Linked DNA regions of Oryctolagus cuniculus. The protein of the gene in region 1 interacts with the protein of each later gene in a biochemical or structural test. Links are inferred from orthologs where the notes say so. Each region holds a gene or a part of one and is shown on either strand. Other genes may lie near its edges.

The links.
Region 2: the proteins of YWHAQ (region 1) and CDC25B form a complex in vitro, tested with the Homo sapiens proteins (2 studies listed by BioGRID). The link is inferred for Oryctolagus cuniculus from reciprocal best matches to the Homo sapiens genes YWHAQ and CDC25B.
Region 3: the proteins of YWHAQ (region 1) and PRKD1 form a complex in vitro, tested with the Homo sapiens proteins (2 studies listed by BioGRID). The link is inferred for Oryctolagus cuniculus from reciprocal best matches to the Homo sapiens genes YWHAQ and PRKD1.
Region 4: the proteins of YWHAQ (region 1) and BAD form a complex in vitro, tested with the Homo sapiens proteins (2 studies listed by BioGRID). The link is inferred for Oryctolagus cuniculus from reciprocal best matches to the Homo sapiens genes YWHAQ and BAD.
Region 5: the proteins of YWHAQ (region 1) and CDC25A form a complex in vitro, tested with the Homo sapiens proteins (2 studies listed by BioGRID, with this or other methods). The link is inferred for Oryctolagus cuniculus from reciprocal best matches to the Homo sapiens genes YWHAQ and CDC25A.

Annotation. Positions count from the first base shown.
Region 1 is NC_091433.1:192,533,502-192,538,741, forward strand, and holds part of YWHAQ (14-3-3 protein theta), read left to right. Parts: intron 1-2,073; coding exon 2,074-2,197; intron 2,198-5,240. UniProt on the Homo sapiens protein: Adapter protein implicated in the regulation of a large spectrum of both general and specialized signaling pathways. Binds to a large number of partners, usually by recognition of a phosphoserine or phosphothreonine motif.
Region 2 is NC_091442.1:29,126,603-29,130,878, forward strand, and holds the start of CDC25B (M-phase inducer phosphatase 2), read left to right. Parts: upstream 1-1,476; 5' UTR 1,477-1,656; coding exon 1,657-1,856; intron 1,857-2,656; coding exon 2,657-2,778; intron 2,779-3,404; coding exon 3,405-3,456; intron 3,457-4,276. UniProt on the Homo sapiens protein: Tyrosine protein phosphatase which functions as a dosage-dependent inducer of mitotic progression. Directly dephosphorylates CDK1 and stimulates its kinase activity.
Region 3 is NC_091443.1:45,413,916-45,419,855, forward strand, and holds the start of PRKD1 (serine/threonine-protein kinase D1), read left to right. Parts: upstream 1-2,380; 5' UTR 2,381-2,521; coding exon 2,522-2,785; intron 2,786-5,940.
Region 4 is NC_091432.1:7,035,990-7,041,949, forward strand, and holds the start of BAD (bcl2-associated agonist of cell death), read left to right. Parts: upstream 1-2,255; coding exon 2,256-2,412; intron 2,413-2,568; exon of another isoform or gene 2,569-2,716; intron 2,717-5,960. Other genes in the region: integral membrane protein GPR137, read right to left, coding at 1-181. UniProt on the Homo sapiens protein: Promotes cell death. Successfully competes for the binding to Bcl-X(L), Bcl-2 and Bcl-W, thereby affecting the level of heterodimerization of these proteins with BAX. Can reverse the death repressor activity of Bcl-X(L), but not that of Bcl-2.
Region 5 is NC_091441.1:100,773,345-100,779,356, forward strand, and holds the start of CDC25A (M-phase inducer phosphatase 1), read left to right. Parts: upstream 1-2,159; 5' UTR 2,160-2,563; coding exon 2,564-2,733; intron 2,734-3,731; coding exon 3,732-3,805; intron 3,806-5,150; coding exon 5,151-5,193; intron 5,194-6,012. UniProt on the Homo sapiens protein: Tyrosine protein phosphatase which functions as a dosage-dependent inducer of mitotic progression. Directly dephosphorylates CDK1 and stimulates its kinase activity. Also dephosphorylates CDK2 in complex with cyclin-E, in vitro.

The DNA.
Region 1 (5,240 bases):
CAGGGGCCCAAATAATTGGGCTATCTTCCACTGCTGTCCCAGGCCATAGCGGAGAGGTGGATAGGAAGAGGAGCAGCCGGGACTTGAACCAGCCCCGATATGGGATGCCGGTGCTTCAGGCCAGGGCATTAATTTGATGCGCCACAGCACCAACCCATGTTTATTTTCTTTAAATAAGTTATAAATACAACAATTGCCTTTTGTTTCAATCAGATAAAAAAACAGATTGTTCTTGGATTAAAACTACGTTTTCGGGGACATAGGCACCTGTTTTGAGTCCTGGCTCCTCACTTCCAGTCCAGCTCCCTGCAAATGTCCTGGGGAAAGCAGTGGAGGTGGCCCAAGTACTTAGTTTCCTACTACCTAATTGGGAGACCTGGAAGAAGCTCCTTCCTGGCTCCTGATGGCCCAGTTCTGACTTTAGTAGCCATCTTAGGAGTGAACCAGCAGATGGAAGACTCACTCTCTCTCTTTCTCTTTCTGTAACTTTCAAATAAATAAATAAATAAGTCTTTGACAAGAAGATTTTAAAACTACATTTTTGAACTTTTGTTATTTTATATCTATAAACAACCTTCCTTTTCATTTTTGTCTTTTGTGACTTTTTTTTTTTCCAGACTTATTTATTTATTTGAAAGGCAGAGTTACCCAGAGGCAGAGAGAGAAAGAAAGTCTTCCATCTGCTGGTTCACTCCCCCATGGCTGCAACAGCCAGAGCTGGGCAGATCCAAAGGCAGGAGCCAGGAGTTTCTTCCAGGTCTCCCACACAGGTGCAGGGGCCCAAGGACTTGGGCCATCTTCTATTGCTTTCCCAGGCTATAGCAGAGAGTAGGATCAGAAGTGGAGCAGCTGGAACTTGAACCGGCACCTGTATTGGATGCCAGCAATACAGGCGGTGGCTTTACCTGCTACGCCACAACACTGGCCCCTTTTGTTACTTTTTATACTCAGATATTCCTATGCCTCTACAAGTATAAATACTTACTAAGAAGTGCTATCTCATTGAATCAGATGTCCTTTTTTATTTTTATTTTTTTTTTAAAGATTGATTTATTTTTGTGAAAATCAGAGTTAGAGGTCTTCCATCTATTGATTCACTCCCCAGATGGCTGTAGTAGCCAGGGCTGAGCCAGGCTGAAGCCATGAGCTTTGTCTGGATCTCCTGTGTAGGTGGCAGGAGCCCAAACGCTTGGACCATCTTCTGCTTTTCCCAAGCCATTTGCTGGGAGCTAGATTGGAAGTGGAGCAGACGGGACACAAGCTAGCACCCATATGGGATTCCGTGCACCGCAAGTGGCTGCTTTAACCCACTATGCCACGATGCTGGCCCCTCAAGTGCACAGCTTATTGTATGGTGTCACTGATAAAAGACATACAGAAATACCGTAATTTATTGATTAGATTGAGTAGACAGAATTATTCTGTCTTGCTGTGCTGTCAGCTGCTGACGCTCTGCCCTCTGATCGCCTTGATTCCATGGACATCCGGGTGCAGAGTGCGCTGGTGAGCTCTTTAGTTCTCTGTTCTCACGCTGGATTCTGCGCAGGCTGATCTCTGCCCCGAGTGCTCCTGCTGTCGATTCTTGACAGTCAGATCTCTGTTCCCCTGGAAGCCTGAACCAGAGGCCGTCTCCAGCAGCGCTAGCTACTCACTCCTGTCCTGTTCCTGTATTTCTCTGTGCTTAGCATGCAGTTAGTGGTGTATGGACAGAGGCTGAGCTTCTTGAGGGCAGGCCTCTGCTCTTAGGGCTTCTCTGTGTCTGCTGTCAGCAAATACCTGACACCCAGCAGATGTCAGTAAGTGTTTGTTGAATGACCAGGTGAGTGAATGGAGAGACCCTTTGTGAGGATACTGTTTTGTGTGATGTAGCTTTCTTTAAAATGTGCCAGGGAGACGGTGGCAACAGGCTGACACTGCTGTAAGGACATGCTTCAAGGCCAGGCGGACGTGGTGAAGGATTATTGTGGTTAAGGATTCTATTACATGAAGGCAGAAGTTAGATTATTCTAAATTCTTGTCTGTAATTAAATAGCTTTTATTAGCGCCTAATTTTTTTATCTTTTTTTTTTCCAGGAATTGTTGGATAAGTATTTGATAGCCAATGCAACTAATCCAGAGAGTAAAGTCTTCTATCTGAAAATGAAGGGCGATTACTTCCGGTACCTGGCTGAAGTTGCATGTGGAGATGATCGAAAACGTAGGTATATTTGGTTTCAGCTAAAGCCAAAATAAATAAAAGGCAGTTGGTGTAAATGGGACACTGTTCCAGTGCTCTGTAGTCTCCAGACTCCTTGTAACTTTGAAAACAAACAAAACTCTGAATGATATGGATCAATAAAATGAATATTTATCTTATTTTCTAAAAATAAAAGTAGGGGATCCAGCGTTGTGACGTAAGGGCTTACGCTGCCACCTGCAACACATAGCTGCTGACTCACTTGTACTCTGTGCACTTGGGAAAGCAGTGGAAGATGGGCCAGGTCCTTGGGCCTCTGCAGCCACGTGGGAGACCTGGAAGACGCTCCTGGTTTCTGGCTCCTGGCTCCTGGCTCCAGCCTTGCCGAGCAGCAGCAGCTGTGGTCATCTGGGGAGTGAACCAGCGATGGAGACCTCTCTCTCCCTCTCCCTCTCCCTCTCCCTCTCCCTCTCCCACTCCCACTCCCACTCCCACTCCCACTCTCTGTAACTCTGTCTTTCAAATAAATCTTTTTAAAAAATGAAAATAGGCACAAATGTTTGGTACAGTGGTTAGGATACTGCTTGGGACACTCATATTCCGTTCTGGAGTGCCTGAGTTCCAGGGTTCTAGATTTCTTTTTCTTCTTCCTCTCTCCCTCTCTCTAAGATTTTTTTTATTTACTTGAAAGTCAGTTACAGAGAGAGGGTTTCTGTCCGCTGGTCACTCCCCAAATGGCTACAACGGCCTGGACCAGGGCAAAGCAAGGAGCCAAGAGATTCATCTGGGTCTCCCTCATGAGTGACAGGAGCCCAAGTACTTGGGTCATCTTCCACTGCTTTCCCCGGGCCAGTAGCAGGGAGCTGGATTGGAAGTGGAGCAGCTGGGACGCAAACTGGTGCCCACATGGGAGCTGGTGTTGTAGTCAGTGTCTTTACCCGCTACACCACAACACCAGGCCCTGGGTTCAAGTTTTGACTCCACTTCCAATTCTAGCTTCCTGCTGTTGCATATCCTGGGAGGCAGTGTTGATAGCCTAAGTACTTTGGTCCCTGCTACCTAATATGGGAGATCTACATTGAATTCAAAGCTTCTGTCTTCAGCCTAGCCCAGCGTTGGCTGTTGCAGACTTTGGGAAGTGTATCAGAGGGTAGAAGATCTCCCTCTGTCTCTTTGCACCCAAATGGGATGGCAGCGCTGCAGGCGGAGAATTAACGTACTGCACCATGGCGCCAGCCCCGGTGTTGCAGTACTTCCTATAGTACTTTAATACTGAAAACAGGGAATTATGGAAGGGATCTCAGATTTCATGTAAAATACATTTTAGGAAAAACCATGCCTGGACGGTGAATAATTTGTTCCATGGTCACAGTAAGCTTGAGTGACCCACATGACTAGGGCTTACTTTACAGGACCTCTTTGATAAGTAATAGTCATATAAAAAGATTTGAATTTTTTTAAAGATTTATTTATTTTACTTGAAAGTTACACAGAGAGAGAAAGAGAGGCAGGGAGAGAGGTCTTCCATCTACTGGTTCACTCTCCCAATTGGCTGCACTGACCGGATCTGTGCTGATCCAAAGCCAGGATCCAGGAGCTTCTTCCAGGTCTCCCACGTGGGTGCAGGGGCCCAAGGACTTGGGCCATCTTCTACTTCTTTCCCAGGCCACAGCAGAGAGCTGGTTAGGAAGTGGAGCAGCCAGGACTTGAACCGGCGTCCATGTGTGATGCCAGCACTGCTGGCAGCAGCTTTACCCACTACACCACAGCACCAGCCCCTAGATTTGAATATTAAATACCTTTTTTTAACCCTTAGACTGTTACAGAAAATGTAATGGGGGAATAATTGAATCACCTGATTTGATTATGGGAACATCAAAGTTTATTTATAGTAAACTTAAGTCTCCTGGGTTATTAGGAGCTGAGCATAGTACAGATCCTAAGTTTTGTGTATGTGCCTGTTAGTAGATTTGTCAAGTTCTAGGTGGAAGTGTTGCTGAAATTCTGATTGTTTTCCCCAGTGAATTTGTGGTGTTCTTGGTTCTCAGTTCTGCCCCCATCCAGTAACATAGCTGCACAAGTAGATACCAGTGCGACTGAAGCCATAAAGAGGAAACCACTGTACTTGCTCTAACATTTGTGTACAAATTTACTGTTACTGATAGAGAGTTTTTGTTGCCACAAAGGTAAGCAGAGTTGGAAGTGAAAATACTGGCACAGAACTGAGCGTGTAAGTGCCAGCGAGGCAGAGGACGTCTTACTAGGACATTCCTGGCTTGAGGCCGACCTCGGCCCTCTGTCTCGTGGGCACTCTGAGCTCCTGCTTTCAGTCCCTCGGGTGCCATCAGCTGTCTTTCCAGCTGAGCTGACCGCTTCTGCTCTGTGTAGTCCCTCCTTAGATGCCCACAGCAAGAGCCACTTACTGTGGGAGTTGTGATTAGATCAACAATGATGCCGTTTCAGAGGAGGGAAAGTGCACAGTCAAGTCATAAAGGGGTTGCTTAATTTCTGCTATGTCATTGTCTTCAAAAAAGCTGGGGTAGATCCACGGCCTTAAATAGAAAACAAACCCTTTCAAAACAAATATAATCAAGTTCATGTTGGTAATGCTTCCTAATTATTTTTTTTTTAATTTATTTATTTGACAGTCATAGTTACAGACAGAGAGAAGGAGAGACAGAGAGAGAGGTGTTTTATCCGCTGGTTCACTCCCCAAATGGCCACAATAGCCTGAGCTGAGCCGATCCGAAGCCAGGAGCCCACAGCCTCTTCTGGGTCTCCCACTCGGGCACAGGAGCCCAAGGACTTGGGTCATCCTCCACTGCCCTCCCAGGCCATTGCAGAGAGCAGGATCAGAAGTGGAGCAGCCAGGACTCGAACCAGCGCCCATATGGGATGCCAGCACTGCAGGTGGTGGCTTTACACTGCGCCACAGCACTGGCCCCTCCTGAGCATTTTTTGAGGGAGGCTACTCAAAGCAGATTTTGCTGTATTATTGGCACTTTATATTGCCTCACCCAGAGCATCGTAATACCCAGAGCGTCTGTTTGCACAAATAATGTCA
Region 2 (4,276 bases), on another chromosome or scaffold:
AGCTTTGTTCTGGGAAGTATTGGGCCCGGCTGTAGTCCGGCCTCCAGGCCCAGAAACCATCTTCAAGGGTTCCCAAGGGTGACTCCCTCAGCACCTCCCCACATCCTGTGTGTTGGGAGGGAGCAGTGTTTTTCTTCTGTGCTGATCTTGAAAATGCAACCCTTGGGGCAGCTTTATTTCTGATAGGTAGGGTGGGTCGCCTCCTGAGGCACAGCCCCCCTCCCCCCCCCATCCCTCCCAGCCGGTGGCTGGGCGGTGGCTGGAGGGTCAGAGCCAGACCCTTGACTGCCGAGAATGAAAGGAAACAGCACCGGGGCTGGGCAGAATGTTCAAAGTTGCTCCTCTCGGGTGGGACTGGAGCCTCCCCTCTCCTTCCCCAACCCTGCAGCGCCACCCCACCCCCCACCCCGCCACTCCCTTTCGCCAACCTCACCCAGGGGCGAGGTTCGGGCAGCGAGGGAAGGGACGCGGGTGCTCGCGACCCCTCCCTCCAAGCTGCGCTCCCCTCCTGAGCCTGTCACCCTCGGGAGGTCGCCGCTTCCCCAGGGAGACGGGGTGCGCTGCGTACCCCCCAGAAGGGGTGCAGCCCTTTGGCCTCATTCCAGGAAGACAAGGGCTCAGCTGGGAGGTGATTAGGTAATTAGAAGATGCCCAATTTAAACTAATGACAGATTCTACAAAGAAACGCCAGTTGAACAATACTATGCCATTGATACCAAGTGAGCCAAGCCACCATTGTAGGTTCTACTTCCATTACCGAGTTCTCTGGTCGCTGGCCCCTTCCTTGACGCCCCGGGTCCAGTCCAGCCGTCAGAGCCTCCCCTGGACTGCTAGAGAAAGCGGGGCCCCTGGCGGCCTCGGGCTCCCACCGGCGTCCCACCGCCTGCACTGGGCGTTCGGTCCACGAATTACCCTTTGGAGCTGCTCCGCGCTGCCAGACGCTGGGGCAAGGAGCCGGCGGGGTCAGGGGCGTCGGGCAGCGAGCGAGGGCTGGTCCCACCACTTTCCCAAATGCATGACCTTGAACAAGCCCATGAACTTCACGCCTCCACATCCGCGTCTGTGAAATGGGACGGTGAACGCAGCCCGCCCAGGGCCGCCGTGCTTGGCAAACGTGCCGGATCCTCCTGGGGCTCGCGCGCGATGTTAACCCCGGGTGCCTCTTTTCCGGACCCCCCTGGGGCCTGTGGCCCGCTCTGTCGGTGGAAGGTTCCACATTAGGTCCCAGAGCGCGGGATTCGGGGGGTCTCCACCTCGCGCCCGGGTTGGGGGTGGCGGGTGTGCAAGCCGTGGGATGGACCCCAGTTCCTCCGCCTCCCCCGAGGCTGGAGCTGGGCGGGCCGGGCTGGTCCAGCCCCCGCGCCTCTTGCTTCGCGGGCCCCGCCCCCGGGCCCGCCCTCCTCTAACCCGCGCCCCCATTGGTGGCGTCCGGCGGCGCGGCCGCTGTTATTTTTCGAATATATAAGGAGGTGGAGGTGGCAGCTGCAGTCAGAGGCTTCCCGGACTGGTGCTTGAGTCCCGCGCCCCTCACCCCTCCCCACCCTCCCCGCATCCCTCTCCTCCCTCACTCCCAGTCCCACTGCTCTTCCTCCCTCCCTCCCTTCCCCCAACCCCGGGCCCGCTCCCGGCCCCAGGCCCTCCACCCGCCCCGCCGCGATGGAGGTGCCCCGGCCGGAGCCTGCACCATGCTCGGCCCTTAGTCCGGCCGGCGTGCGCGGTGGCGTCCAGCGTCCGGGCCACCTCCCGGGCCTCCGGCTGGGGTCTCATGATCTCCTGGGGTCTCCGGAGCGCACGGCCGCTTCCTCGCCGGTCACCACCCTCACACAGACCATGCATAATCTGGCGGGGCTCGGCAGGTAGGACGCCTCCCAGAGGCTGGGCGTGGGGTGAGAGACCAGGACGGGGTCCTTCGGCTCCAGAGGAACCGCGCGTGGGAGTTGAGCACTACAGGTGGGGTGGGGATGCGGCCGGGTCAGCGCAGAGGGAGTCCCTACCCCTGCTTCAGGGGCCCTGGGCAAGGGGCATCAGACCCTCCAGGTGACCCTTTGGTCTGCGCAAGCCTCCAGGGACCCTCCTTCCCCTCCCCCTCCCTTACTGTGACTCGGCCACGGTGCCCCCCCCCACCCCAATCTCTGTCCGCATCTCCTCCATTTTCCCCAGGCGGGGAGATATGAGCCGGGAGGGGGAAGTTGAGGGTGGCAGAGCAGTGGGGTTCTCACAGGCCCATGCCTCTGCTCCCTCCACCCTGCTTCTGCCCCCAGGGTTCAGGTCATTAATCCTAATCCTGTTCCCTAAGCAAGCCTCAGGGGCTGGGCTGACTTCCCCCAGCAGCCATAGAGACCCAGGTCTCTCTCTCCAAGGAGGCCCTGGGATGGGTAGGGGTCTGAGGAGCAGAGGGCTCCCAGGGCTGCTCTCTCGGCTGCCCCACTGACCGCCACGCCAGCCCCCAGCCTCTTTGCCCTCGCCCTGTGATCACTTGCCCTGCACCTGGGAGGGCCTCTCCTAAGCCTGCCATCCAAGAGAAGGCACTTGGTGGGCTAAGCCTCCTTGTCCTGAGGAGCAGGTGGGCCCTTCAGAGCTGGGTGACTGAGAACAGGGAGGGCCTGGAGGCCTGCATTTACCTCTCTCCTTTTCTGGTACCCCCTTCCCCTCCCAGTGAGACCCCAGAGGCTCAGGCCGGGAGCCTGCTCTTCCGAAGCCGGCTGGCGCGTCTGTCCCTGTCACGGCGGGCATCCGAGTCTTCCTTGTCATCTGATTCCTCTGAGTGTTCTGATGCAGGTGAGGCCCCACACGTGGTTGGGGAGGTCTGAGTTTGGGGGGCTGCCTGGGCTGCTGGATGCCCTGCAAGGTCAGATTAACATTCTTCCCACAACCTGGTGTGCCCGGGAGCCTCCCTGCTTGGCCTGCAAAACTGGGAGGAAGACACACCTCTGGCGGGACCCACCCACCCAGCCCGGGCTGGTGGCCGGGTGGGGCCCTCTGTGGGAGGGGAGATCTCACCTATCCGAAACCAGGCACCAGAGTCCTTAAACCACACATACAGCCCCACCTGGGAGCCGCGGGAGCCTGCGAGCTGATCTGTCTACAGCATTCTCTGAGTCTGTAACTTTAAGAAGCCGTGATCTCTTCTAAAACAAATTATTTTAAACCAGTTCATGAAAAAAATGCTTAGCAAGCACTGTGGTTTTAAAATGTATAGGACAGGAGTTCCCATAGTAACAGGGAGTGGAGCCCTGTGTTGTGTGGGGACAGCATGTCAGCTCATGGCTAGGTTCTTGTCTCATTTTTTAAAGTGTGTCCAGATGGAAAGCAGAAATAGGGCTTCCTCCCCTTCCTGGGACATGCTGGGGGGAAACAGGTAGGGAACGTCACCCCTTTCAAACCCAGGCCCTCTGTCCCCACAGGTCTCTGCATGGATTCGCCCAGCCCTGTGGACCCCCAGGTGGCAGAGCAGACGTGAGTAGATGCCGGGGACCCCTACACAAAGGAGTCGCCACCTGCCTTTGGGAATCCCCGTTCTAGCAAAAGCTCGCTGGAGAGCTCTGGGAGAGTGGAAGGAGTCCTCAGGCCCCACAAAGAGGGCTCGGTGACCTGCCTTGGCCTTGGGCTTCGGCTTCCTGTCTCAGAAGTGTCTGCTTTCAGAAAGCTGGCTGAAAGTGGACGGGGGCCAGGGGTGGTGGGGACAGTGGCCCCTGGGAGCAGTGGGTACTGGACCCCAGCTGGGCCTTGTCCTATGGGAACATAAGTCCAATGTGTGTCCTGTTATCCTTTGTTGCTTCTACACATTGTTTTAAACTAGGAAATAATCACAATTTAAAAATATGTTCCAACTAACTCAGTGCTTTAATTCACTCTGTGTCAAACACAATACAGTTGCTTGCAGACTGATTGGGCCTTAGGCCCATCAGCAACCTCTGGCTTCAGACACTTGACCCCTGGCCAAGCCCTGGACCAGGTCCTTTGTGAGAGAGAGGGAGTGGACAGAGCTGGTGGGCTCTGCTGTGGACAGATACCTCCCCGTCGTGGCGGGGGGGGGGGGGCAGGAGTAATGCCATCCGCAGCACAGCTGTTCCCATCCAGCTGTTAAGACCCAAACAGGTGGAGCAGCTGCCAGCCATTAGTAGGGACAGCTGAGCATCCCTCTCCTGGGCTGGAGGTCTCTGGCTGTGGGTTTAAGGCATCAGCGGCTATGACTGCTGTTCCTCCTGTTGCCTTTGATCAGACTGGGCTGGGCTGCAGAGTTTGTTCACAAACAGGAAATGGGGAGAGAATTGGG
Region 3 (5,940 bases), on another chromosome or scaffold:
ACCCTTAGTGGTCTGGCTTCCTTCAGCTCTGACCTCTTTCTCTGTGCCTTGAAAATGCCAAATACATCCCTGAGTTAGATTGTTTGCACTGTCTGTTCTTTATGTCTAGAATATTACTATCCCAGAGCTTCCTAAGACTTGTCCCTTTCCACCCAGCATCCAGGTTTTGGTGATTTTTTAAGTGTAAACTCCTCAGTGAAACCTTCTTTCATGCTGACTCCGAAGTAGTGCCTCTTTCTCTACTCCCTCCCCACAAGCTACTCTTTTTACTATGGCATTAATTTTATTCATTGCAATTATGACTATCAGAAATAATCTAATTATTTTTTTCTTTTCAATGTGATACGTTTGAGTTGTCTTGAAAGCTGCACAACTTTTACCTATGGGGTCTGGAACAGGGAAAAATCTCAGCACCTAGTTGTTATATTTACAAATCATGACTAGCTCTAGCTCTCCTGAATCTGAACTGAAGCTAGCTTTTTATAAATTCCTTCTGAACAGGAACTTTGTTCCTAGTAATAGGAAATTGCAGAATATTGCCTTTCTTCAAACTTTGGAAGAAAATGAGATATCTTTTCTGACATTAAAAGAAAATCCCTAGAGAAGTGAGACGGCTATTGCATCAGGAAGAACTGATTCATTGTCCTGGCTTAGGTGACTGAGTCTGGCACACTAAGAAAATGATACTCTAACATGAAGAATAAAGAGGACGAGCTCATAAAGAAGTAAGCAGGAGAAACACCAACGCATATATGTAGATTCTAACAAACTATCAATCCAGAGTACATTCAAATCTCTTCTAGAGCAGCGAACAACACAGTGTAGCCAGGGGTGCAGAAGACCGCATTATCTATACTGGGGATACAGCTCTAAAGAAACCACCTTGCAATATCTTGGGCAAGAACCACAGGTCAAGATAATAGAAAAAAATAAAAAAAAGTAACGACCCAGGAAAGAAAGTATACGAAATAGGCTGCTTAGGTATGTTAGAGAAGTACCAGGGAAGTGGAGAAGTGACACACTACAGTACATAAACTGCTTGGGCAACTGCTAAATGCAACTGTGAAGACCCTTCTTCAAATATTATTAAGAATTCCCAAGCAATGATAGCAGAGCATGGGACTGAGCAGGACCCCAATGATCCCGATGAGAGCTGGACCCTGCGCAAGTGCATTGTTATACACCCATGAAACCCATCCTCGGTGGGGGGGGGGGGGCGGGCGGGAATGAAACTCATCTCCCACTACTGGGAAGCACGACTCTCAGCCCCCAACCCGACAAAAGCAAGAAACAACTCTGCGAGCAGGTTGTACTCCATGTTGAAGGCGGTTCTAGTGATGGCGGTGGTGCAGGGGAGAACCTGGGAGCACCACTCCTGAAAAGTACACTTGAGACTGACAGAAGAAGAAGGAAAATCGTTTCTGGGGCTCCAAAGCGGAAGCTCCAGCCAAAGAGAGTAGAGGGAAAGAGGCCGCATCAGACCCACCCCCTGGCCTTTCGCAGACGGTGCCTTTTCTTCCAAAAGGCCCATCCAGTGAATTCAGCTGCTCGCCCACGTCTGGGTTCTCAGGACTGGGGTGGACGTAAAGGTGTGACACAGAGAGAGACAAAAAGGTAGGCACACCGAAATACACTTCTGTGGATTTATACTCTCTACGGTAGTCACCCGAGGGCTCCCCGAGGCGCCGGGATCTGAGTGGCTCCCTCACGAACCGCTATTTCCATCCCCTCCTCGAGGCTCGGAAGGAAACCCCACGGGGAACCCGAGGGTTTGGCAGTCTTGAATACCTCAAAGGTCGCCCCACTCAGAAGGGCGCAGTCCCGGTGCCCCCGCACCAGCTGTGGGGACTGTGGGGACCGGGGGAGCTCTCAGCCCCGGAGACCGGGAGGGGGAGGTGCGTCCCGACTCCCGGGCCCCTCAAGTCGGCGGCCCGGAGAGCGGGGGCTGCAGAGACGGGGGACCCGGAGGGGAGGCACGGGCCGCGCCCTCCGTGGTGGCCCTGAGCCCCGCCACTCGGTCCTGTCCCGGCTCGCCAAGGCTCAGGCCCCCGGAACCTCGGACTGAGGGGGCGGCGACCGGGCACCCTGCGGCCACTGCGGCCGCGGCTCCTGCGGCTCCAGCGCCCGCCTGGTGGTGGCTCCGGAGTGCCCGCCCCCAGCTCTCTTCCCCGCCCCTCGCGCCCCTCGCCCGCCCCCGCCCGGCGCCCGACCGCGCTGACCCGCAGCCCCGGGGCCCCGAGCGCGCCGCGGCGGCTGCTCCTCGGAGGCGGCGGCGGCGGCGGCGGCACCTCCCCCGCGCGGTGGCCGCGCTCCCGGCGGCACAGTCCTCCCGCCTCGGCCATTTTTCCTCCTCCCCTCCCCTCCAGAGCCTCATCCCTTCGCCCTCCCCCCGCGCCGGGACTTTTCCGGAAAGTTTTTATTTTCCGTCTCGGCTCTCCGAGAAAGAAGCTCTCCGTTCGGCCGCCGCAAAAACTTTTCGGCCCCCGCCCTCGGCCGCCCGGCCCCGCCGCCCCGCCGAGCGATGAGCGCTCCTCCGCTCCTGCGGCCGCCCAGCCCGCTGCTGCCCGTGGCGGCGGCCGCGGCAGCAGCGGCCGCCGCGTTGGTGCCGGGGTCGGGGCCGGGGCCCGCGCCCTTCCTGGCTCCGGTCGCGGCCCCGGCCGGGGGCATCTCGTTCCATCTACAAATCGGCCTGAGCCGCGAGCCGGTGCTGCTGCTGCAGGACTCGTCCGGGGACTACAGCCTGGCGCACGTCCGCGAGATGGCTTGCTCCATCGTCGACCAAAAGGTAGGGCGCCGTGCCGCTCCCCTCCCGGCCTCCCGGCCGCGCGGCGCAGGGGGCGCTGCCCTCCCCGACCCTCGCCGCCAACTTTCCGGCTGCGGGGGCTCGGCCGGAGCTGGGCTCGCCGGCGCTCAGGAAGCCTCTGGCACCGACCAGCCGGACTTGGACGCCCGCGCCCAAGGCATCGCGCTCCCTGTTGCTCTGCCCTGGCGCCCCCATGCTCTCCGAATCCCCAGGTTCTCGCCTGTCTGAGTCCTTTCTCTGCCCATTTCCATCCGTCCCATGACATGTCCACGCATCCTACCCTGCTCTCGTCGCGCTCCTGCGCACCCTTGGGACTTGCCGGCTCCCTACCCACTCCCTTCTCCGCCCCCCAGCCTTCCCTTCGGAGCCTGGACCGGCGCGTTCCCGGCCCGAAGTCCCGCCGGGACGAGCTCCGCACGGCTTCAGCACCACTCCCTTCCCCTCTAGATCCGTCCCCCCACGCCCAGGTTGCCGCTGAGGGGTTCCTGGAATGACCTGGGCGCGAGGAATTTCTCACCTGTCAACTGGGCTTTTAAGAGAGGGGGATTGGCTTGGCCAGCTGTGAAAACAACTGAGCGGACCCCAACTACCCAAGTCCTTTTGGTCATTTGGTCCCACCTCTGTAAGAGCGTGGGGACAGAATTTCCAACGACGAAGCCGCGGAGCTGCGGCTTATTTTTCTGGCACATAGAGAGTGGGACACTGAAGTGTTGGGGTGATGTCCAGGGACTCCCTCAAGGCTGAGTGCCCTCAAGTCCGAGACTGTGGGCCTCTCCACGGCGGCCATCAAGGGCAGGCTAGAAAAGGGCCCTGGTCCTGGACCAGGCCACCCTGGGGGAGACTCCGCGCCCACCTCTGTTTACACTGCTAGTCTGATTTTCAGGTTGGCAAGGGGCGGTGGGGGTATAAGCTAGTGGGAGCCTTGGCGCCAGTCTTCTCAGGACAGTCAGCCAGGGCTTGGGGGCGGAGACAGAGGGCACTAAAAGTGCTGGATTTCAGTCCTGGAGGACTTGGCTAGGACTGCCTTGCAGTGCTCTCCTGAATAATCAGGAATTGCCTTCTTGAAAATTATTTGAAATGGAGTTTGCCAAACTTGGAGGGTTTTGAATTGTGACACACTGAGCTCAGGTACATTAGGAAAGCCTAAGGGGGGGGGGGGGGAGATCACTAATCTGGGAAGTTGTGAAAGTTCTGAAGGCCAGACAAAGGTAACCATGAGTGCCTGCAAGTTTCATTCAGTGAAAGGAGTGGCACTTTATAGTGCATGTGTGATTCTCAATTGCTTGCAGCTTCCATGCAATGTTTGTGTCCAGCCCCAGTGTCAGGGAGTGTGGGTTATGGGAGAGCGGGAGCACTCCCCTAGGCATCAATAGCCTTACCTGATCAGAGTGTGGCCACAGCATCTCCATGTTAGAGTGTGTAAGAGTTCACTGAAATGCAGTGCTGCCCAAGCACAGACACACTGGAGATAATAACATTTCTCCAAAAAACATGCAGCTCTGTGGAACTGTGATTTCTTATCTATTTATTATTTATTTATTTATTAGTGTGTGGAAGTCTTCTTTCCCCTTTTTATTTATATATATAGAGAACAGATTTCATGTAATTCAGATACAATTCCAAGAATATAGTAACACTTTTCTCCTTTTCCTTCAGTTTTTGCAATAACATTTAGAATTTACATCACAGTGGGAAAACCATTGTTCAGCAGGAATATAGACAAGGGCTATCTAACGCAAGGATGTGGTGACAGAATATTTAAATGCAGTCTAATAATGTGGACAGACTTTGTTTGCCAGCTTTAAAACACACGCACACCTTAATGGAATTTAGGATGAGGTGAAACAATCAAGGTTTAAGAGGTTGGGAGTTGCATCTGGGTCGCTCCCAAGAGGGATGTCATATGGAAAGAGTGAGGTGAGTCAAAGGGAGAGGGGCTGCAGGCACCCCTGGATTGCAGTAGACTCGGGGTGGGGTCTAGGGTATTTAGAGAAGGCCTTGACATTAAAATGAACTCAGTAATCCTCGCATAGAGAAATCATCCCAAGAACATCTGAGCCATGGATTTGCTGTGTGGAGGGTGCTATGGAATGCCAGCCATATTGCAACAGAAAGAAAACTGGAGTTTGTTGCTGTGAGCTGCTTAGAACCCGGGCCAAGACTCTAGGGGAGAGACTTGGAGAAATACTGGAAAGGGAACATCAGCAGTCCTTGGTAATTGATTTGCGAAGGGCAGCCCTTTCCTTTTGCATTTATTCCGGTAGTTCTGTCTCAAAAGAAAAGTTTGAGAAGTTTGCTTGCAATAGCCAAGAGAAGGAGTTCACTTTGATTTTTTTGTTGAAGATTATTGCAGAGATTTACATATGTGAATCTGAGAATTACTTATATTTGGAACACTAAATAAATATGTTCTTGGTGTTGGATCTAGACAGAGGATTTTTTTTTCTGTCTTCTGTCATCTATTGCAGGATACCTTATTACCCCAGCCAGAAACAAGGTGGGAGCCGTATGAGTCCATCACAGGCTAATAGAAATCTGCTTTATGACGGTAGGAATGGTAGAGTGTGTCACTGTGGCGGGAAGGAGGAGTTCAGAGGTAGGGGAGGCCCTTTTGTCCTCTGTTTCCACTCTTCTTGAAGTACCTTATGAAGACATCAACCATGAGGACAAATGGCAGAGGAGAGAAAGAAAGATAAAGGATGGGAGAAGGGGGGGGTGATGGTTTATCAGGAGAGAGCTGACAGTTTGAACTTATTTACAATGTATTATGTAGACCAGACTCACGTGTGGTTCACAAAGGCAGGGTCCCTTGGTTTTCTGAGCCCTTCTCTTTTGTTGTTTTAAATTGTGTGAAGAAGTTTTGCATCCAGTTTGTTCATGAACTCCCTAAATTCTGTCGTTGGTCATCATAGCTTAAATCTTTGGAAGTATTAACAGTTCAGTTGATTTCAGCAACATTTCTGGGACATTTTCATGGGATGAACGACTGAAGTACACAGGCTGAATAAGAGAGACACTGTTCCTGCGACACTCATCTTTAAATTCTTATTATTTAGAACTTAAGTTGTAGTTTTCTTTAATTAGGTCGATTTTAAAAAGTAGTAAACATATGACTGTACTTGAAAAATTTTGATGAT
Region 4 (5,960 bases), on another chromosome or scaffold:
CCGTCTGGTAGCTGAGCCGCTTGTGCCCGTAGAGCAGCACCAGCCAGAGCTGGGCATAGACCGAGAAGAAGAGCAGGGCGTACAGGGTGGTGTAGGCGGCCGTCAGTCCCAGGGTCACCGCCGGCGGAAGCGCAGGCACCAGTCCCGCGGCCGGCACCAGGCCCGACAGGTTACTCTCCATGGCACGGAGGGGGCCTGAATCCAGGAGACAGGGGGCCGGGCGAATAAATACAGAGCCGCGGGTATTCGGGGGTGCAGGGCTCGGGAGTGGAGTGTGGCAGGCCCTTCCTCCTCAAGGAGAGACTCTCGCCCTTGACGGGCCTCTCACTCCATCTCTCTCCCCTCCAGGGCAGGCCGGGTCGGGGGTGTTCCCTCCCTCGGCAGGCCCCAGAGCCGGGGATGCGGGGTGCAGGGTGCAGGGGCGTCCCTGGCCTGGGTCTCTCTTGCCGTCCCGGTAGGAGGGGGAGAGCCGGCCGAGGCCCATCGGCTCCGGGCAGCGGCCGCTGCAGGGGGCGACCGAAGCCTCGCTCTCCCTCTCCCCAAGCTGGGGGGGAGGGGCTTTCGCCCCTAAAATTATCCAGATGGGGCCGGGGCCTCCGCCTGTGTCCTCCGGGTTCCGGACGCCGCCCCCTCCCACCGCGTCCACTCCCCAGCCGCGGGAGGCGGGAAGAGGCCGATGCCAAGTCCTCAGGCCGTGCGCGGCTCGGGGGAGCCGGCTCCGGTCGCCGGGACCCCGGGCTCGGGCACCCCGGCTCCCGCCGCTCCGCCCCCTCCTGCGCCTGCGCGGGCGCCGTGCGCTACGCCAGTTGCGCAGGGGCCGGCCCCAGCTCTGCGGCCCCGCGCCGCGCCCGGCGTAGACTCAGTGGAGAATCGGCGCGAGGTGCGCCGCCGGCGGGCGCCCCGGGTTACAAGAAGCGGCGGGCGGAGGAGAGGCGGGGGCCGCGCCGTACCTGGGGGGCGCCCGGCCGGGTTGCGCCCTGCGCCACCAGACCTGGCTTGTCTGTGGAGGGCCGCGAGCCCCTACACCTCTCGCCCCCATCCCCAAATCAGTGTTGCGCCGCCCGGCCGGAGGCGGCAACGGCGCCCCCTCACTCAGCCTCCGAGGGAAACTTCCGCCCGTAGCCAAGATGGCCTCCGGGCCCCGCCCCCGGCCCCCCACCCGCGGGACCCCGAAGCTGCCCCGCAGGGCCGCTGGCGCGCCCCTCGCCCTGGCCCGCGCGGCCCCCGCTCACCTGGCCGGCCGCCCGCGCGCCGCCTGCCAGACGCGGAGCCCCTCGAGGCCTACGGTTCGCCCTCACCGGGGCCCCTGTCCCTTCTCCCGCGCCCGGGCCCTCATCCTGCCGGGGAGGAGGTGCCCTGCCTTATCTCGAGTGATCCCGAGACGGCGCGAGGAGCAGGCCCTCCGGCGGGCCGCCCGAGGCCTCCACGCAGGGGAGGAGGAGGAGGAGGAGGAGGGAGCGGGACTTCCCGCCCGGGTCGCCCAGTGCGGGCGGAACAGTAACAATAGCAACGACAACTGCATCCGACCGCGGAGCTTCGCTGGCGGCTTTGCCAAGTCCTTTCACCTACAGTAATCACCACTGTTTACGAGTGTCTTGTACTTGGCTCCCGGGGAGAGGCGCCTCGCCGCCGTCGCCCCGACTCCGCAGTGGGGGGCCCCGAGGGGCTCGTCGGCGGAAGCGGGCCTCCGGGTCCCACGCGGGGACCCCAGGGGCTCCCTCACCTGCTCCCACACACGCCCAGGGCGTGAGTAAGTCAGGAGCGGAGCCTCGGGCGGCCCGGGGGGACCGAGGAGGAAGGCGGCGGCCCGGGCAGGTCGCGGGTGGAGGCGGCCCCGCCTCCGGGCCAACCCGGCTTCCACTTCGAGAGCTGATTGGGCCGGGCCGCTGACAGTTCCCGTTGCCCAGGCAACGAAGGCTGGGCGCCCTCGGTCCTGGAGGGAGGCGGCGGAGCCGGGTCGGGGGCCTCGGCCGGGCGCGGGGTGAGGCCTGTGCGGCGTCGCCCCCCGGCGGCTTGGGTCGGGCTGGGGCCTGGGTAAGGGCCCCGGGCTGCCCCTACAGCACCAGAACTCTATGCCGAGATTCGGGTGCCCCTGCCGGGCCAGGCCTAGAGAGAGAAGGGCCTGGGGAGACCCAGGGGGCCTCGGGGTGCCGGGGTGGAAGGGGGAGCCAGGCGCACCTGCCGCCGTCCCCGACAGCGACCGTCTGCCCCTCCTGTGTCCTGACGCCCTGCTGTCTTGTCCCACAGCCCAGAGCATGTTCCAGATCCCAGAGTTTGAGCCCAGTGAGCAGGAAGACTCCAGCTCTGCCGAGAGGGGCCTGGGCCCCAGCCCCACAGGGGACCGGCCCTCAGGCCCCCGGGGGGACGCCAGTCACCAGCAGCGGCAGCCGAGCCGCAGCAGCCACCATGGAGGTAGGTTCCGTCCCACTGCGGAGCGCCAGTGCCCCTTAACCGCCCCCCTGCCGCCCCAGCCCAGCAGTGGCTGCCCACATGCTGACCGCGACTCACTGAGGGCTTTGGGCAAGGCCCGGCCCCCTCTGAGCCAGTCTCCCCTTCTGTAACACTGACCGGTCGGTTACCACCATGGCAGGAGTGCTGGGCTGCCGAGCAGGTGTATGGAGGAAACACTGGGTTATCAATCCGGTATACCGTACATGGCCAGGAAAAAAGTCATTGTTATGGTGGGGCGGGGACAGTGCAGTGAGAGGTGGACAGTGACCCAGAAAGGGGAAGTGACTCGCCTAAGGTCACACTCCAGGAGGCTCTGCCCCGGGCTGCTCTGCTGGCCTGGGATGGGCCTTCTAGCTCCCGGGTGTGTTTTCCCTGGCCTCTGCTCACACCCAAGGGGAGGCTCGCCTAGCCCAGGTGAGTGGCGTGGCAGGCAGCAGGCCGGGGTGGGGGGCTAGACGAGAGCCCTGGGAGGCCAGGAGCACGGCTCAGGAGGCTCCTGGAGCGGCCCACGGAGATCCGGGAACAGCAGCCAGGCCGGTCACTCACCACTCGCCCGCCCGAGCTCGGCCGCCCTCTGTTCCTCTCCGCACGGCGTCCAGCTGGTGCTCACAGCCCCCACCTGGTCTCCACCCCCACCTGGCAGTCGCTCCCCATCAGCAGCGTCACCGCCCCCCCCCCCCCCCCGCAAAGGGGCAGGAACACAAAATGATGTACCCTGGAGGGAGAGCCCACGGGGCCTTGCTGCGAGGGAGAGGGAGGCCCCTAGGACGGCGGCGCCCAGGCACTGGGCCCGAGAGCGTGAAGCTGCCTTGACAGAGGTGGGCACGCAGGGCGGGGAGGGAGCACAGGGACCAGGGTTGGGCCCAGGTGGAGCCCCAGCACTGGAGGCCCCGGCCAAGCAGGGAGAGAGCAGCCGAGAAGGGAGGAGAAGGGCGTCTCCCGGCCCAGAGGAGGCCGGCAGGGTGTGAAGGCCCCAGAAGCAGCCAGATGGGGGGGCGGGGGGGGGCCGAGAATGGCCTGCAGGCGGTGATGGTGATAAGGAGCCTGGCTGGAGGGCTGCGGGAGGAGGGCAGACAGCAGACAGCCGGCCCAAAGCAACTGGTCGCCCATACCAGGTCCACACAGGTGCCTGGGCCCCTGCCCACCGCCCAGCACACTCAGCCTAGGAGGGGACAGGCCAGCGGGGAAGCCACTGGGCCAGGCTGTGGGGTGCAGGGTGGTTCCGCGCGAGCCCACGGCTGTGATCGCCTCGGGGTTCCCAGTTAGTAGGGAAAGTGCTAGCAGCTGTGGGCGTGGAGGCAGGGCCGGGTCACAAGCCTCTGTGCTTGTCGCGTTACCCGGCAGGCGTGTTACACGCCTGGGTGCTCCCAGGGCCCCGCAGAGGGCAGGCGCGAACACGAGGGCCCGGAAGGCCACGCCAAGGCCTCTGGAGTGCGTCTCAGTCAAGTCCAGCGGCAGGGCTAGCGAAGGTTTGGGTAGGCGGCCGGACAGGGCTGGTCGTAGGGCGGGGCGGGGCCTACCGTGGCCATAGGTTAACTCCTGTTTGTGTGCAGCCCCGTGAGCTGAGGGTGGTTTCCCCACTTTCCAGTGGCCGACAAAAATCCAAGCTACGGTATTTTGTAACACACGAAAATTACATGAAACTCAGATTTCGGAGTCCCGAAGGTGTCTGTGCACACGGCACGGTGCCTTCATTTACATGTTGTTTATGGCTTCCCTGAAGCCCAGACCACAAAAGCGAGTGACTGTCACCAAGATTACGTGGTCCACAAACCTACACCGGGAACAGGCGCTCGGTGCGGTGGTGAAGTCACTCTGGGACACCCGCAGCCTAGATCGGGGTGCCTGGGTGGAGTCCCAGCTGCTTGGTTCCTCATCCAGCTTCCGCCGGGGTGCACCCGGGATGGCTCAGTACGGGGCCCCTGCCACCCACCTGGGAGACCTGGATTGAATTCCTGGCTTCAGCCTGGCCCAGCGCCAGCTGTTGCAGGCTTTTGGGGAATGAGCCAGCCAGGGGAAGATCTGTCCCCCTTCTCAAATTAAGTGGAATAGGGGTGGATGTGGCGCCGTGGTGAAGCCGACCCCGGGGACACTGCGGCCCGTCAGAGGACCTGCGGAGTCCCGGCTCGGCCCCGGGGACACTGCACCCCGTCAGAGGACCTGCGGAGTCCCGGCTCGGCCCCGGGGACACTGCGCCCCGTCAGAGGACCTGCGGAGTCCTGGCTGCGCTCCAGGGAGGCGGCCGGGGGCGGCGCAGGTACGCGGGAGACCCAAGCTCACTGTGGGCTCCTGGGCTCTGCAGGCCCGGCCCTGGCTGTTGTAGGCATTTAGGGAGGGAACCAGCTGACGGAGGGTCTCTCCCTCTGTGTCTCTTTGCCTTTCAAATCAAATAAAAATAAATATTTTTAAAAGAGAAACTGAAAATAAATAATATAGTTTGTTTTGGTTAAAAAAAAAAAAAAGCCCTGAACTGTGTCCAGGAGCACCCACCCAGTAAGAGGGTGCTGGCTTGTGGGTGCCGTGAGGCGTGGGCGGCACTGAACTCCGATGTCGCTTCCTATACAAGCATGCCTGCCACAAAGTTTAATTGTAAACTAGGCACATGGCATTACTAACTAACCACGAAAAGGAAAATTATAATGCAAATTATAATACAATAAAAGTTGTCTAAAACCTAGGAATTGTTTCCAGACTTTCCTTTTTACTTTTTTAAAGATTTATTTGTTTTTTGTTTTTTGTTTTTTTCAGATTTTTTTTATTTTATTTTATTTTTGACAGGCAGAGTGGACAGTGAGAGAGAGAGACAGAGAAAGGTCTTCCTTTGCCGTTGGTTCACCCTCCAATTGCCGCCGCTGCAGCCGGCGCACCGCGCTGATCCGATGGCAGGAGCCAGGTGCTTCTCCTGGTCTCCCATGGGGTGCAGGGCCCAAGGACTTGGGCCATCCTCCACTGCACTCCCTGGCCACAGCAGAGAGCTGGCCTGGAAGAGGGGCAACCGGGACAGAATCCGGCGCCCCGACCGGGACTAGAACCCGGTGTGCCAGCGCCGCAAGGTGGAGGATTAGCCCAGTGAGCCGTGGCGCCGGCCTTAAAGATTTATTTGTATATTTGAAAGGCAGAGTTACAGAGAGAGAGAGAGGGAGAAAGAAAGAGAGATCTTCCATCCGCTGGTTCACTCCCCAGATGGCCGGTCAGGAGCCTGGAACGCCATCTGGGTCTCCCATGTGGGCGGAGGCCTAGGACTTGGGCCGTTTCCCACCAGGGTCCCGGTGCACTAGCAGGGAGCCAGATCAGACTCGAGCCCGGCTGGGATGCCGGCACCGCGGATGGTGGCTTACCCCACTGCGCCACAGCGCCGGCCCGCCTGGACCTTTCTGTGAGGCATGTGGGCCGAGGCTGGCCACAGACGACAGGAACTGCGGGTGAGCGAGGGCTGCCTGCTCTCTGGTCCTTTACAGCAGACACCCGCCGTCTTAGGGCATCGTGTTTCCTCTTTCAGATTTCTGATT
Region 5 (6,012 bases), on another chromosome or scaffold:
AGGCAGCCATTATCATGGAGATGATTCCTGTGCCGAGATTAAGCTTGGCAGGTGGGAGCTCCCTGAGGGTAGGAGTGATGGCATTTCTATCTTAAGCCCTGGGTGCGTTTCAGTCACAGTTAATTGAGAATACTAAACTATACCAAATAGGAGGAGAGAAAGTTTTCAGAGCTTCAGCAGGGGAAAGGATTACCTTGGGGAGGGATCACTGACCATGTGAACAATAACAGCAGAGAAACCTAAACAGCCTGAGGGTTCCGGCGGCAGGGGCCAGCAGAGGATGCCCAGGGTAGCTGGGCTCCTGGCTTGGGCCTGGACTAGTTTCAGCTGTTGTGGGCATCTAGGGAGTCAACTATCAGATGGAAGCTCTCTCTCCCTCTCCCCTTTTATCTGACTCTCTGCCTTTCAAATACATACATAAATATAGCTTACAAGAAAGAGATATGCATGTCCTGTTTGGGGTGTCTGGGGTCAATACCTGGCTCCGGCTCAGAACAGCAAGTTCCTGCCAATGCAGACCCTGGGCAGCGGTGTGACGGCTCGAGTAACTGAGTTCCTGCCACCCATATGGGAGACAATGATTGAGATCCCAGCTGGCAGCTTCAGCCTGGCGCAGCCCTCGACACTGTGGGCGCTTGGGGAGTGAACCCGCAAATGCATATGGGATCTCTCTGCCTCTTTAAACAAAATAAAGTGAAGCTTCTGTGGTTGCCAGGAAAGAACTGGGGAGCCTGCTGGGGCACCAAACAGAAGGACACCATTGTGGCCCAGCTCCCTCACCGCTGACAAATGGAAGCCAAGCCCCACCCACCTCTCTCCCTCCACATCATCCCCTCCCAGTTCAAGTCCCACCCTTTCCCAACAGGACTGCTGTGATCCCCTGCAAACTGGTTTCCCCAGCTCTGCCCTTGCTGCTCTCCACTGCATTCTCCACTCTGCTGCGTTTATCTTTTTAACATATAAATGTAAACCTTTTACTTGTTTGCCCTTAGAAAAAGTCCGAATTCCAAAATGTGTTTTTCCAGCCCTGCAGAGTCTGAACCCTGGGCCCTGACTGCCTCCCAACTGCCCCTCACCCACTTACTGCTGCACACCAGGGACCCCCTTCTTCCCCAGGCTCTTGCTTAAGGCCTGTCTCTCCCGGAAGAGCCTAGGCTGCACCTTCTAAGGCTTCATCCTGCTGGTCATTTCCTGACCTACCACACCAATCAGATTCCCTTCTTAAAGACCCTTTAAGCACTCACGTTTTCTTCCCAGCACGGATTCACTCAATCTACAGATATTAGGGCCTTTCCCGGAACCAGGCATTAGGTGATAGGAAAAAAAAAAAAAGTCAAGGTTCTTACCCTTTTGAGTTAATAGTAATCTGAAGACTTTGACCTGATTAAACAATAATAGAAACAAATGTGAACATGCGTTGCCCCCCGCGGTCCCCCCCTCCCGGTAATGGGGGATGGGGTGGATGATAACAGGGATTCCCTCTGATTCAGTCAGGATATCAAACTTTTCTTGAGAAAAGGAAGGTGAGCTGGGTGAAGTGGGTGAGGGGTGAGAAGGGCACTTCAGGCAAGTCTCCAAGAAAGCATGGATTGCGGCCGGCGCAGTGGTGTAGTGGGTAAAGCCGCCGCCTGCAGTGCCGGCATGGGAAAAAATGGGGTCCACAGTATTGTACAGTTAGAGGTAGAGACCGGGCTGGGTCTGAATAGCTTTCTCTAGCCCCCAAGTCCCCTCGGGGTGTGGGGCGCGAGGCTAGAGGGTGAAGTGTCGGTGGCCAAACGGGGGTACGAAATCACTGGACCGCTGCTCGCGATTGGAAAGGAACTACACTTCCCAGCATGCACCAGGGCAAGGGGGCGTCTTTCGGCCGCGACCAGCACCTCGAAGGTTCTGCTGGGCGTTTTCATTGACCTCTGAGGCGCCTCTCATCTTGAGCCCCTCCTATCAGCTGCAGGCCCCGCCCCCTTCTGAGAGCGGAAGACCTCGCAGAGTCCCGCGAGCTGCGGCCTTCTTCCTTTCTCATTGGCCCATCCTGGCTGCCATTCGGACGCGAGGCGGAGAAGTTGCTTCCTGATTGGTGGATTCTGTTTGGCGCCAACTAGGAAAGGGGGGCGGGGCAGCGCCGGCCCTCTGTAAGCAGCTATTACCGCGAAAGCCACCTCGGCTGCGACAGTCTGGAGGTCGGCCTGGTTCTCTGCGATCCCGGCCTGGGTAAGGGGAAGAGAAAAAAGCTAAGAGCGTGACCTTACCTTGCGGAACTTGCCTGCTGCTCCTCGGGCCTCCGAGTTTGTTTGGATTTGATCTTCAGGTTGCTGCGGTCCGCACGCCGGCTCGCCTCGCGGGGTGAGAGGGAAGCACCCGTGCTTGTGTCTGGCACCTGCCCGGTCCGGACGACCGCCCGTCCGCTCCGCTTGTTCGCGGCTGCGTCCCTGAACCCGCGGGGTCGTGTTTGTGTTTGACCCGTGGGCGCCGGCGGCGGGGCACGCGGCCGAAGCCGGTGTCGGCCGAGCGGGGCAGGCGCGGCGGACAGAGAGGGAGCGGGAGCCTTGGGAGTCCGGGCGCCGCCATGGAACTGGGCCCGGAGCCCCCGCACCGCCGCCGCCTGCTCTTCGCCTGCAGCCCCCCTCCCACGCCGCAGCCCGTCGTGAAGACGCTGTTTGGCGCGCCAGCCGCCGGGGGACTGTCGCCTGTCACCAACCTGACGGTCACCATGGATCAGCTGCAGGGACTGGGCAGGTGAGGAGGTGCGGACGCGCGGTGCCCGAGGCCGCTGGCCTCCCACAGGCCTTCCCACTGCCGGGAAGATCGGGTCGTGAAACGGACCGGGAGCCGGGCGGGTCGTGCGGGTCCGCGCCCGCCGCTCGGGGGCTGTCGGACCGGGGCCCGCCATGTGCACCCTGCCCCCGCCGGGCAGAATGTTGGGCGGAGAGGCAGTTCCGACCCTGCAGGGCTGCCCTCAGCCGGGGCTGGGCCCGGGCTGTGGCCGGGGACCCCCCACCCTCGTCGCCCCTTTGAGAATTCCCGGCACTGGCTTTGTGCTTCCCGGGAAGCTCTGCGGAATACACCCGTACGGGGGAAGGGCTGGCCCTCGCAGGCGCTTCAGTCCAGCCCTTCCCGAACCAGCTCACAGAATCTTAGTTTCCTGCGAGCTTTCTCTTCTCAACAAAGGGACGTGGCATTTCCTTTCCGGGTATTTGTGCAAAAACATCGTCCTAGTCCCTCGCCCGCGCACTTTCCTCATGTTGATCCCTCTGCTTTCCTAATTCCTGTCTCATCCAGCTTTCCATAGCTCGCTAGGCTTCTCCTTGGAGGAACAAACGCGTCCCACACTGTTTCTGACGAGGCTGCTTTCCCCTCAGTCTTGGTATACCATATTCTGAGCCGTCTCGTTCACGGTTCCCAAGCCCTGAAAAGCAGGAACTCCTGTCCCATTCTTCAGTTATCTCTAGCACAGTACCTAGAACACATGCTCTCATTTCAGGAAATAGCTCCCCATTTGCCATAGTCATCGTGTCTTGCAATGTGGCCAGGGGCCAAGCCACCCGCTCTTCCCTCCCTTGCTTGGTGCTAACTGGGTGTTCCCAGTGGCAAGAAGGGCTCTGTGGTGTGGCCTAGAAGTGATGGTAATTCATGCCAGACTGGCTGCTTGTTAACCTCATGGCCTGTTTCCTGTATGTGGCCTTTTAGTGCTGTCCTAGAAATCGCTCATGTGCAATTATTTTTCTTGTCTTCAGCGAGTATGAGCAGCCACTGGAGGTGAAGAACAGCAGTCTGCAGAGAATGGGCTCCTCCGAATCAACGGATTCAGGTATTCCTTGGGTCTTTGCCAGTCTGTTCTGTGGGGAGCAACATGGGAATTTCCTAAAGCAAGCATCGAGTGTGTATAAGGAGGTGGTGTGTGTGCTTGCCCTGGAAAAATGACTTAACATTCACCATTCCTCAGTGAGTGAAGTCCAGAAAAACACAGGATGACAGCTTCCTCCTAGGACGCAGCAGGTGATGGCTCAAATGCTTGGGCCCCTACTACCTCTGTGGGAGGCTTGGATTGAGTCCCTGAACTAGCAAATGGGATATCTATTCTTTTTGTCTCCTTCTTTCTAGTAGATGAAAAAATAAACATTAAGAAATTAGGATAAACTTATTATAAGAATAATGAAGTCAGTGATCCTGCTATGGAGGAAATGAACAAGGGTGCTTTTTTCAATTTCCTAAATTCAGGTTACCGCATGCACAGATAAGAGCATTTAGGGTACAGATGTTTAGTTTTAGGACTTGCAAAGGCAAACGTCATAAAATGTAGTATAGACTTAAGAACTGGAGATGAGATTCTTATTTGTGGAAGTAGACAGGTGAGAGTATCGGTTCTAATGCCTAATCTGTAAGGCTTTGGCAGCATCATGGAGCGGTGTGAGCTTGGCATGTGCTGGTGGGTCTTAGCTAGCACAGAAGTAGTACTGAGCAGTGTCTCCTCCACCCTACTACTTTTGGAGAGATGGACACCTTTCTTGGAGTCATTTTGTTAAAGGCAGCCAATGTCTGCCTTGTGTGATGATTAATATATTTTTCTTTTAAAAAATATTTATTTTTATGTATTTGAAATCAGAGAGCTCTTCCATTCACTTCTTCCCAAATGCCTGCTAAGGACAGGGCTGGGCCAGGCTGAAGCCAGGAACCACGGACTCTATTCTGGTCTTCCATGTGTATGGCAGATCTAATTTACTTGAGGCATCACCATTGCTTCCCACGATGCTAATTAGCAGGAAACTGGAATTGAAAAAGAGCTTGAATTTGAACCTGGGCACTCTATGGGATACTGGCATCCCTGGTGGTGTTTTAACTGCTGCACCAAATGTCTGTTCCATAATTGTACTTTATAATCCTCAGAATTACTTGGATAATTTGATGAGACAAAATACTTGAAATCAAAACTATTCCAGGAAAATACAGTATGTTTTGAATAACTATGCATGATGTGAATAAGTTTAATTCACCCTCCATAAATTCTATTTCCTTTGATGGCAATTGCCAGTAGAAGGGGATTCATGTATATATATTATGAGAATGTTATCTATGTATTTTAACAAAATGGAATTTGTGTATTATTTCCTCACTTTTTTTTTTTTTTTTTTTTTTTTTTTTTTAATTTTCCACAGGTTTCTGTCTGGATTCTCCTGGGCCCTTGGACAGGAAAGAAAAGTATGTATTCACTGCTTTTAAATTTATACATAGAAAAAAAGCCTTTCTTAACTTCTTAAAAGATTTACTTATTTATTTGAAATGTGGAGAGAGAGATCTTCCATGCACAGGTTCACTCCCTAAATGCCCCCAGTGGCCCAGGCTAGGCCAGGCCAAAGTATCATCTGCTGCCCCCCAGGTACATGAGCAGGAAGTTGGGTTAGAAGCACAGAAGAGTCAGGCACTGCAATTGGGATACAGGCATCCCAAGGAGCAGCTTAACCCACTGTGCTACAATAGCCTGTCCCTCAATTTTTTACTGAAGTTCTTTATATTCTGCACTGGAACCCTAGCTTTAGCTGTTCCTAGAAAGACCCCTGGATTCTGGAAAAACTTCACGAGTAGTGTGTACTTCCCTCCTTAGATTTTAGCTCTTGTTTTGGTGTTAGTCAAATTCTTAAGAGAATGTATTTTAAGGGAAGGTTTGGATTTTCTTTTTTACCTAGAAGCCCAGTGTTGGAGGTGCTCCTAAAAATAGGATAGCGGCCGGCACCGCAGCTCACTGGGCTAATCCTCCGCCTTGCTGCGCCGGCACACCGGGTTCTAGTCCCGGTCGGGGCGCCGGATTCTGTCCCGGTTGCCCCTCTTCCAGGCCAGCTCTCTGCTGTGGCCAGGGAGTGCAGTGGAGGATGGCCCAGGTGCTTGGGCCCTGCACCCCATGGGAGACCAGGAAAAGCACCTGGCTCCTGGCTCCTGCCATCGGATCAGCGCGGTGCGCTGGCCGCAGCGCACCGGCCGCGGTGGCCATTGGAGGGTGAACCAACGGCAAGGGAAGACCTT